Linked DNA regions of Danio rerio. The protein of the gene in region 3 purifies or fractionates together with the protein of the main gene of each other region. This does not show direct contact. Links are inferred from orthologs where the notes say so. Each region holds a gene or a part of one and is shown on either strand. Other genes may lie near its edges.

The links. Proteins that work in one complex are often made in the same cells at the same time.
Region 1: the proteins of nop58 (region 3) and ruvbl2 purify together in Homo sapiens (affinity purification with mass spectrometry; 5 studies listed by BioGRID and IntAct, with this or other methods). This does not show direct contact. The link is inferred for Danio rerio from reciprocal best matches to the Homo sapiens genes NOP58 and RUVBL2.
Region 2: the proteins of nop58 (region 3) and nufip1 purify together in Homo sapiens (co-immunoprecipitation; 3 studies listed by BioGRID and IntAct, with this or other methods). This does not show direct contact. The link is inferred for Danio rerio from reciprocal best matches to the Homo sapiens genes NOP58 and NUFIP1.

Annotation. Positions count from the first base shown.
Region 1 is NC_133180.1:31,375,410-31,379,507, reverse strand, and holds the start of ruvbl2 (ruvB-like 2), read right to left. Parts: upstream 2,801-4,098; 5' UTR 2,753-2,800; coding exon 2,741-2,752; intron 2,063-2,740; coding exon 2,008-2,062; intron 1,468-2,007; coding exon 1,412-1,467; intron 1,313-1,411; coding exon 1,171-1,312; intron 1-1,170. UniProt on the Homo sapiens protein: Possesses single-stranded DNA-stimulated ATPase and ATP-dependent DNA helicase (5' to 3') activity; hexamerization is thought to be critical for ATP hydrolysis and adjacent subunits in the ring-like structure contribute to the ATPase activity.
Region 2 is NC_133181.1:63,100,446-63,104,453, reverse strand, and holds the start of nufip1 (FMR1-interacting protein NUFIP1), read right to left. Parts: upstream 2,801-4,008; 5' UTR 2,795-2,800; coding exon 2,775-2,794; intron 2,746-2,774; exon of another isoform or gene 2,679-2,745; coding exon 2,497-2,678; intron 1-2,496. UniProt on the Homo sapiens protein: Binds RNA.
Region 3 is NC_133181.1:10,590,251-10,593,404, forward strand, and holds the end of nop58 (nucleolar protein 58), read right to left. Parts: intron 2,963-3,154; coding exon 2,814-2,962; intron 2,734-2,813; coding exon 2,618-2,733; intron 1,712-2,617; coding exon 1,637-1,711; intron 1,559-1,636; coding exon 1,508-1,558; 3' UTR 709-1,507; downstream 1-708. UniProt on the Homo sapiens protein: Required for the biogenesis of box C/D snoRNAs such as U3, U8 and U14 snoRNAs. Part of the small subunit (SSU) processome, first precursor of the small eukaryotic ribosomal subunit.

The DNA.
Region 1 (4,098 bases), on a different chromosome or scaffold from region 3:
ACTCCACGTCTTAATTCCATTTCTGTTAAGTTCAGTTATGACTTTAGTCGGATTAAGGTGATCAAAATAATAATAATAATAATAATAATTAGCTGTTTCGAGCTTATGTAGGCCTACAGTTCAAAATCCGTGTTTAACTGAATAAACAGTTAGTAAACACAAGTACGTCTTATTGAACATCCTTTATTTTCATCACCAATTATCATAGTAGAACAGTTTCTCAAGCAGTTTGTGATGCATTTTGGAAACAGGAGATGAGTCCCCGGTCTAATGTGCCACCTGGCTTTAGAAACTCGTTCTCAAAGACTTAATATTTGGGTAGCACGCATATTCTGAATGCCTTCGGCAGAAATCAAATGAGCCATTTTAATCTAGATTAATTCCAAAATTAATCGAGATTAAAAAAAATTTAATCTATGCCCATCTATAATAATAACATAATATTCCATAATTTAGCATAAAAACATAAAAATTATATGAAAAAAAACTAAACAAATTTTTGCAAAATTAAGTAAATAGGACACATTCTAACGTATGTGGATGACATATAAAGCTTTATTAAGCTTTCACTGTTTTGAATGCTAAAGCAGAGTTCAGACAAATTTTTACTACTAAAATTTCATTAAATTTAACATGATTTTTCCAAGGCTTTAAAGTAAATTTTCATGACCTAATGTTTCATGCAATGTCTACATATGCGTAGTAAAAGAAAAACAATGCATATTCCAATTTCTTACAACATATCGTAAAATACCCAGCAATCTACTTAAGTTTCAATTAATTTTTATTTCTATGTAAAATTGATTTAGAAAATGCTTACACAGCACTAATAATGTGAGAGTACACAGTACAGTACACAGATATCTGTTTTTCATGACTTTTCCAAAACTTTGTGGGTTTTTTGTTTTTCCAAAACTTTTTCAGGCCTGGAAAATGTCATGTGAAAATTCCATGACTTTGCAGGTTTTCCATGACGATATGAACCCTGTTAATGAGTCCTTTATGCATCTGTACCATTTACACATAACATTTAAGAAATTAATGATACACACAACTACAGTGATTTAAAAAAAAAGTACAAATGCTGTGCAACAGCTTAGTTTAACTTTGTAAATGAGTTATTTACTCTAAATTGAATTATTCATAATAATTATTATGAAAATAACACACCCATAGCAATAGCTGTCTTGCCCGTCCCAGGTTGGCCAGCGATAAGGACTGCGCGACCAGCAATCTGACCATCTTTGATCATTTCAAGAATCAGCCCGGCTGCCCTTCGAGATGCCAGCTGGCCCACCATCCCCTGAGACACCTAGTGAAGGAGAAAGGTTTATAATTTAGAATTGTTTATTATAAACACACTGTGATTCACATTTAAGCCACTGGTAAATCAATTAGAGTCTAAGATTACCTGTCGTGGCTCCAGAGCATCATCCAACCCAAGGCCACGAATGTGAGAGTGTGCGCCTATGAGAAAAGCCAAGATGTGTGTCACTTCAGGAACAACTTTGCTTGATTTTGTATTTCCATTTAGTATATTCATTCATTCATTCATTCATTTTTCTTTGGCTTAGTCCCTTTATTCATCAAAGGCCGCCACAGCAGAATAAACCGCCAACTCATACAGCATATGTTTTACACAGCAGATGCCCTTCGTGCCTCAAACTGGTAGAAACATCCATACGCACTCATTCACACACATACACTATATGTCTAATTTAGTTTATTCAATATACCTATAGCTCATGTCTTTGGACTGTGAGGGAAACCGGAGCACCCGGAGGAAACCCACGTCTACATGCAAACTCCACACAGAAATGCCAACTGGTCCAGCCAGAACTCGAACTAGCGACCTTCTTGCTGTGAGGCAACAGTGCTAACCACTGAGCCACCATGTTGCCCCCATTTAGTATATAGCAAATAAAATATCTTCTCATTGCATTAGTGCTGTTTTGTATTTTTTTATTTAACTTATTTTAGGATAGATAACGTTAGGTGTTTTCTTACCGATTCTCTCAATGCGAGTGATGTCCCGCACCTCCGGAACCTTTGTGGTTGCCACCTACATTAGTGAACAAACAGGTAAATATAATATTCGTTTAAAAGTTATTTATAAAGACATATTTTATTGTGTTTTTGTGTATGTGAGTGTTATTTATATGTAATTTGACCGCTCAATAGACGTTAGGCGCTTGCGTTGCCATAGTGACACATTCAACACAGCAGAAGAACTAACGTTAGCTGAACGGCAACATTAGCAATGTAACGTTAACTTAGCACAAATATATAACGTAAGATGCACAGTTTTAATACAGTAATTCGTGGCATATGCTCTAATAAAGCGATGTACGTAATGTTATATGAATTTCATATTACAGAAACGTTGACATGATAACGTTAGGTGAACAACAATAAAACAAGCTTCATGTTCACGTTAACGTTGGATAAGAGTTCTCTGAGGATTCCCAAAGTCCAAATGTCTCAATAAAAGCAACTTTCACAAATTCACACATCAAAATACCAAACTTCTGTATTCGGAATTATTGTTGTAATACATTGACGCACATGTGCTAAAAGCGAGCTCACTCACATATGAAACGTATTTATTGTCATTAACAAAACATTTCAACGGCATACATACAGCACAAAGTAGTGGTGCATACATTTGTGTTATGTGTTTAACCTGAGCAGGTAGCAAATAGGTCAAGAAAGCAGAAATAAAACGTTATTTATAACATACCTGCGCTGCCATGTTCTCTCGCGAAAGGCGGTTGTATCTGAATGGGTGCGCATTGGAAATTCGTCCGGGGGAAACAAGTGACCGTCTACATGAGTTCTGGATTCTTCGTTCATGTATCAAATATCACACATGAGAAAAAACATCACTGATGATATATTTTGTTTCTATATAGAAGATCAGTGGTTAGTTCTTCATGTCACTTTGTTTTTGAATGTCAGCATGATGTAGACCTAGTTATAATAATGTTTATACAATACATTTATAATGATATTTATACATGATCAGACTAGTCCGCTACTTAAGCAAAACTGATACAAAAACTTAAATTTGATTTTCTAGCTCAGGCCCAAACAAATATTTGTTGCATTTCTTAATAGTTTAAGTTCATTTGATTGACTGTATTAAAATTAGAGGATAGTATCAATGCATTTATTGGGTAAAATAAAACTGCTACCTTTTACTGTAATACGTTCCCATTCCCAGAATTAAGCTTGGTACACGGTCATAACCATACATGCAAAAAAAAAAAAAAAAAAAAAAAAAAAAAAAAAATATATATATATATATATATATATATATATATATATATATATATATATATATATATATATATATATATATATATATATATATATATATATATATATATATATATACACATACACACACACACACACACACACACACACAATCACTCCTCTAAACTCATTCAACTGACTGAAATCTTAGAGCGATCTCAGGTAGACAAAAGCCCAACCCAGCCCATCCCTGATTGTGGCTATTTTAAGGCAGTGCCGTGCCAATGTTTTTTAGGAATTATATATTAATTTAGTTCCTTAAAAAAGTAAATAATCATATAAAAATAACCTTTGGGTGTCATCACCATACAGCAGGGTTTCTGCGGGGTCCTAAAAAGTCTACAAATTTAAAAATCGAACTTTTAGGCCTTAAAAAGTCTTAAATTTGCTGTTCTAGGTTAAATATTTTTGCACAGGTCTTATTTTTCCAATGTCCACGTAACGTGACAGCAACAGCAGTGGGAAAGGAGGAATGTTTTTATAAAAGTTTAGAAAAACTTGAGGGATAAGTTTGTTAAAACCAAAAAAAAAAAAAAAGGCCATGGCAAAATTTTGGCAAAAAATTGTAGAGCAACCAATTTTCTGTAGTTATTAATACTTAACTTTAATTGGTAAAACTGTCAGAGATATGAACAAAAGTGAATGATGCATTTCATTTTAAAAATCTTGAATGGTTATAAAAATCTTTATAATCATTATTAAAAAATCATGAGAAATAGTTTGTTTAAAAAATCTTGAAATATATTAATTATTTGATGTATAGTTCTGGAAACTTCCTAC
Region 2 (4,008 bases), about 53 Mb from region 3:
GTATGAGAAGTGAAAAGGGTGTAGTAAACAAGACACACACACACACACACACACACATATGTATATATATATATGTATATGTATGTGGAGTCAAAAGTCATGTTTAATAGACCAAGAACATTTCCACAGTTTTTCCTACAGTCTAGTAGTTTTTATTCTGGAGAAAGTCTTGGGCTATTTATTTTAGTCTGGCTGGAGTAAAAGCAGTTTTTATAGACCTAATAAGCTTGTCAATATAATTAACCCCCTAAGAATTTATTTGTCAAACAAACATTTGTCATGAACCGTCACTCAAAAGCATCTTGCTATGGCTACTTCATTTATAATGAAGCCAAATTAGGTTTCTTGAGAGTTTTCTTGCTGTATAAGTTGTTTATTTTGTTATTCTTTTAACGTTTGTTGAATATACAGAATTATATTTTTAATACACTCTTTTAGTTAATGAGCTGTTCATCTTCTGTAATTCTGAAAATCTCTGTAAAAACAGTGATATTTCTATTGCATCCACTCCCACATTAAAAAATACTATAGTAATGTATACTGTAGTGCTTTTGAACCATGTTATAAAATAGCCTATTTAAATTTTATAGTTCTGGTATCACAACAACTATAAACACAACCCAATACTGAATAAACATGTTCAAAAATGCTATAATATTTGCTATAAATCACCATAGTATTTTTTCATGAGGTCATTCGTCTGCGATAAAAAACGCGTACGAGATCTCCGCCACTGGTGACGATTCCAGGTGGCTAAACAGCGAGATTCAGCAGGTGTCCGACTTCTGATGTAATTTTTGAGCCCTCCTCTTACTGCGCACGCCTGCTCTCGTTTACAAGGCGAGGTGCACCTCAAACGAGCCTATTTATTCATCAGGTATGACAACCAAAAGCTCTTGTTCTCTCCAGACTGGATTACTGCAACTCTCTACTAGCCAGGCTTCAGCTAACTCTATCAAACCTCTTCAGCTGTTCCAGAACGCAGCAGCACGAGTGGTCTTTAATGAACCTAAAAGAGCACATGTCACTCCGCTGCTCATCCGTTTGCACTGGCTGCCAGTTGCTGCTCGCATCAAATTCAAAGCTCTGATGTTTGCCTACAAAGTGACTTCTGGCTTTGCTGCTCCTTATCTGCTCTCACTTCTGCAGATGTATGTGTCCTCCAGAAACTTGCGTTCTGTGAATGAACGTCGCCTCGTGGTTCCATCCCAAAGAGGGAAGAAATCACTTTCCCGAACTCTCGCATTCAATCTGCCCAGTTGGTGGAATGAACTCCCTAACTGCATCAGAACAGCAGAGTCACTCGCTGTCTTCAAGAAACCACTAAAAACTCAACTATTTAGTCTCCACTTCCCTTCCTAATCTGCAATTGCCTCTCTGACTCCACCGCTAACTGTACTACAGAAAATATAAATAAATAAAAAATTGACTGATGTTTTGCTTCTTACAAACTTGCCGACAGCACTTCTTCATTGTTGTTCTTATAGTTGTGTGAATAAAGCGTCTGCTAAATGACTAAATGTAAATGTAAAATCCAACATCTGACAGACGTCACAGTGGCAACGTCCACACAACGACAAGCTGTGACATCATTAGACGTTGATATTTGGTTGGTTTTAGGTTGGACATTGACGTTGAGTTCTGACGTCAACCCGATTTTCATTTCCAAATAAAATGCACCGTCATAGCCCTATGACAGGGGTGTCCAAACTCAGTCCTAGAGGGCCGGTCTCCTGTAGAGTTGAGCTCTAACCCTAATCAAACACACCTGAAGCAGCTGATCAAGCTCTTACTAGGTATACTAGAAACTTTCTGGCAGGTGTGTTGAAGCAAGTTATGGCAAAACTCAGCAGGACACCGGCCCTCCAGGACTGAGTTTGGACACAGCTGCCCTATGTCCTCAGGGGACAACATCAATCTGACATCATGTTGGCTTCTTGTACCCGCTGGGTGTTTCATCATACAGTAAACATCCGCCGTCTTCTCATCACTGACATCCTCTAAACAGTGTCTGGGTCAGGTGTGTGAAGATTCTGCACATCTTCTTGGACACTTTTAATGCTGCATAACTGCTGCAAACTGTTTGGAATCGCACGTGTCTAGAGATAGTTCAGTATGATGGGTTTAGCTTCTCTGTGATCTGACTGGGCAGGAATCAGCACTGATCTCTCTGATCCCCATAGAGGAGAGTAAATACAGCAGTGATGCAGGATGAAGGACAGTAGTGGAGTAACAGCACTGATACTGCAGTTAACATGTGCTCAAGTAAATTAAGAGCACATTTTTAAAAACTACTTAGTAAAGTACAATATCGAGCAAAACTCCTCAATTACAGTAGTCTGAGTATTTGTAGTTAGTAACTCTACACCCCTGAGATTAACTGTGCTTATATATATACTGTCCAGCCAAACTATCCGGCTTTTTCCTGTGATGTGCGCCTGCTGTAAAGCTGCTTTTGAACTATAACTATTATGAAAGTTCTCCAGCAATGTGTACCTGCGCGGGGCTGCGCGGCTCTGTGTCCGCCTCTGGAGCTCCACACCCCGGGTTCCGGCTGGCTCCAGCTCCAGTCTCGGGCCGCCTGAAAGGCTCTGGAGCTCTGCTGAGGCTCCGCGCTGAAGTCCGGCGGGGGCAGGCGCTGCTGCTGCCCGCTCATGGCGACGGTTCTCCGGCTTAAACTTCACAGCGGTTCGATGGAGATTCACACACTCGTATAAACACAAACATGTGCTGCGGAAACATGCAGATAAAAACACGTGTGTGCGCTCTCTCACCGATACGTCACTTCCGACATGCGCTGAGCTCGTCTTGCTGGATGACGTAAAATATACAACTTGAATGCGACACGGTGGCGTCAAGAAGGTCGCTGGTTCGAACCCGGCTGGGTCAGTTGGTGTTTCTTTGTAGAGTTTGCATGTTCTCCCCGTGTTGGCGTGGGTTTCCTCCGGGTGCTCCGGTTTCCCAGTTTTGTGTTTCGGCTGGAAGGGCATCCGCTCCGTAAAACATAGGCTGGATAAGTTTTTGGTTCATTCCGCTGTGGCAATCCAAAAAAAAAATATATATATATTATATATATATATATATATATATATATATATATATATATATATATATATATATATATATATATATATATGAGCAAACACACCAACAATCAGCCTTTTTTACCCACTTTCATCTGTGAAATTAAAAAAATTCAGAGTCGTCCAATATAAACTCCAAAAATTGATCTATTTAAAACTACAAAAAATTATTGGGTTTCTATCTAAAATCTATATAATATTATTAATTGGAGAATTATTTTACTTTTTAATTATTTTTAAGCCTCTGTTCAGTTTTGTTCTCCAAACTTTCTTCTGTCCTTACTTTGTAACTATATTTTATCAATAAAATAAATAAATAAATTTATATATAAAAAATATATACATATATAAATATATAAATATATATATATATATATATATATATATATATATATATATATATATATATATATATATATATATATATATAACCATTAATGATGCTACTAATAAAAAAGCAATTAAAATAGTTGTGTGTGCTTTTATTTATATGTATTATTGTACACGCCTGACCACTGTGCTTTTCTATTTGTTTTACTCTGTTCTTTCAGCATCATTAAAGTAAAATGAAAAATATGACATGGAACAATAAGATAAGGGAATGAAAATTACACGTCATCTCTTAATAAAACATTCATATTTATTAAAGTGATGTATGGGATATTTTACTCCGCTCTGTTGAGTTTTAAAAAGTTAAAGCATTACACCTCAGCTGTGCATTATTCTCTGATAATCCGCTGTCAGCCGCAGGTGATGACTGCTCTCCTCTTCTCCTGCACCGCTGCTGAGATGTAGTATTAGTCAGGTGTGTGTCCTCCACATCTCCTCCTTCTGTTGTGATATCTGACTGTTGTAGCTGAGATATAACTAGATATGGAGCTGTAATGCGCTCTAAACCTGCCGGAACTACTTTAGCTGTGCCTTT
Region 3 (3,154 bases):
GTACTTTCAGGAAAAAATGTCCTTGTGTGAACTCATGTTCTGAAATTACATAACACTACTTCCTTACTGTTTTTTAATGCATAAACCAATTTTTTTTAACATGTTTTGGATATTAGAGAGTAAAACATTTTCTGCCCATTTTGAAGTTAAAAATAGTGTTTGGGACATTTCATATGCTGCAAAACAGCTGCAGGATGACACTATGTAACAAAATATAAAACATTTAAAGTATTTTAAATAGCCACTTAAGAGCTAAAATGTGTTGTCCATGTATGTGGCAACTAAGCCCGCCTAGGAGGTTAATACCTCAAATGAAGTAACATTTATGAAGAAAAAAACAAAAACAAAACAAACAAAAACAAATTGCTTCTAGAATCTTTTTCTTGACCCTGAATTAAGTTATGGGGTGTTTGAATATTTTAATATACTTAATATTATGGCATGATGTAAATGTTTTGCATGTACACAGATTACAAGTTACTATCAGAAGTAAAAATCTCATTTAATATGATCTCAACCACCGTTTTCACCATGTGGAATAAAGAGGTGTATGTGGCTTAACATTTTTCACTTTAGAGCACCTTCAGATAATAAAGGGTTTTACCTTTTTGCTAGCGAAATTAAAAATGAGCTGATTTTCACCATAAATCTGATTTACTGGTGTCTTGGCTCAGCGATATCCAGATTCTGTCACTTCCTCTAATGTTAAAGAGATAACCAAAATAGCTGCTCTATCTCCTGCTCATTAGACCTAGAACAAGCTGATGGTCGGCTAAATTTATGCTGCGTTTTGGCAAATCTTCTTGACTTGGCTTGATCTTACTGGAACAAGGAAAGAGGAGGAACCAGAGAGGAATGTAAAACACACAAATAAAACACAAAGTACTTCATCCTACGATTTTGGCCAAGCGTTCTCATGGTCCACAGCTTCATCTCCACTAAAACCACGGTAAACCATATTTCTTCTTTTCAAGTGGATTTCAATACAGAAAGTTTTAGTAAATGGTCAATTAGTTGGCATGTTAATATCTTTCTATACTAATCAATGTACTAAGCATAATGATCTTACAACAAAAACAAAACTCAGTTTAAATGTAAAAAATAAATAAATAATAATAATAATTCAATGAGTCCACATGCTAGAAACATCCAGTATTTAATAAACCTGAGACAAAATGACCCAGTTTTACATCACAATGCTCACAGACGTCTTTAGTTTGACCCCGTTCTCACTTTTAACTAAAAACATTCATTGATAAAAGACAAACTGAACTGCATGATCTAGAAAAACTCAATCAAATATGGGATTTTACGGACTTTTCTCTCACAAATCAAAGCAATGTGTGGAGAAAACATCCTATAATTAAAAAATTAAATGCATATTTTTTTAAACAAATGACAACAGTCAAATGGAACTGTTTGAGAGGGGGATAATGTCCATATAATGTCCAAAAACACCATAAAAATGTCTTATATACAAAAAGTTCATGGAAAGAGTCCTGTTGGTTTATTCGTCTTCTTTTACCTTTTTCTTTTTTTTCTTCTTTTTTTCTGTCGTCTGTGAAAGAAAGGGGAATTTAGAGCTTCAAAATATAAATATGATATAATATAATTGTATTTGTAGCACGGTTCTTACCTCTTCTACCACAGTCTCTTCTGGCTCCTCTTTCAGCTCCACCTCAGCCGCTCGTTTCTTTTTCTTTTTTGACGGCTATAAAGCAAAAAGCAACTTGTTAAAATTCCACAAAACATACTTAAAGGATGTTAACCAAAGATTAAAAGTTCACTCTCTGCCAAGTTTAGGGTTTCATTAACACAAAAAGTACTTTAAAGAATGGTGTAACCACTGAAGTCCATAAAATAAACATAAAAAAACTCAGGATAAAAAAAAAAAAAAAAAAAACCCTTGGGTTTCTAACAAGGGTGAATAAATGACACTTCTCAGTTTTAGGTTAACTAACACTTTAACACAAACACAAACAATAAAATTGGAATAAAATCTGATCTAAAGACTAAAGCATGACCTTTAAAGCATGACCATGCAGGGTGTTACCAAGTCAAATTAAAGACTTTAAGACCTTTTCAAGGCTGTTATGATGAAATTTAACACTTAAAGGACTAAAAAAAAATTCTAATTGCACAATTGAGCAAACGGAAGTTTTACTTCATCAAAAATTTTATAATTTCTTAGCCACATCATAAAGTGTTAAAACTAGTAAACTCTAGTTATATACATGCCCTTATTTTAACAAATTTTTTTTTACTATAATTTATCAAATTTATGCAGAACAACGTCAAAGACAAGGAGAACTTTTAAACAAATATTATCGTTCGAAAGAATTGCATCTTATTGGCAAAATAGGGTTAAAACGTAACTTGTTAATGTTTTATTGAGAAAAACTGATTGGATGAGTCAGTAGCTTTACATTGACAGAGGAATATTAAGACCCAAATGATTTAAGACCTACGACACAATTTAAGATTTTTAAGGCCTAAAATTTTGTTTTTGAAACTTAAGACATTAAGACTACAAGACCATGTGGACACCACATGAACTAGACTCGAGCGAATGATCCCACATCTGGATAATAATGAGTCAGATGAATTTATGACTGACCTCCTCTCTGACCTCTTCTACCAGGCTGACAGCAGTCTCCTCCTCCTCCTGCTTGGGTTCCTCCTCAGCCCTCTTCTTTTTCTTCTTCTTCTTTGGAGTCTCTGTTTCAGCCTCTCCTGTGATAAAAATTCATTTAATCTTTATCTGAATGTAACGCGTGTCAGTATCTGCGGTGTTATGTCGTATGGATGTTCACCTTCCGCGGGGGCTTCCCTCTTCACTTTCTTGGCTTTAGCCTCTATGGGCTGGTCTTCCTCTTCGGCCTCCTCGACCTCTTCAATCTTCCTCTTCTTCGAGACGGTGGGGAGTGTTGAGTCACCAGAAGGGTCATATACCTTTACATCACTGATAGGAAGTGAAAAGATCATGTTCTGCATTAAAAACAGTAATTTATTGCTGTGATGGCAAAGCAGAATTTAAGCCATATTATTGCGATTTGTTGATTTTGTGCTCAAGAAACAAGGCGCTTTTGTGGAAACCTTAAAGAATTAGTTCACCCAAATATGAGAATTAGCCCCATCATTTACTCAAGCCATC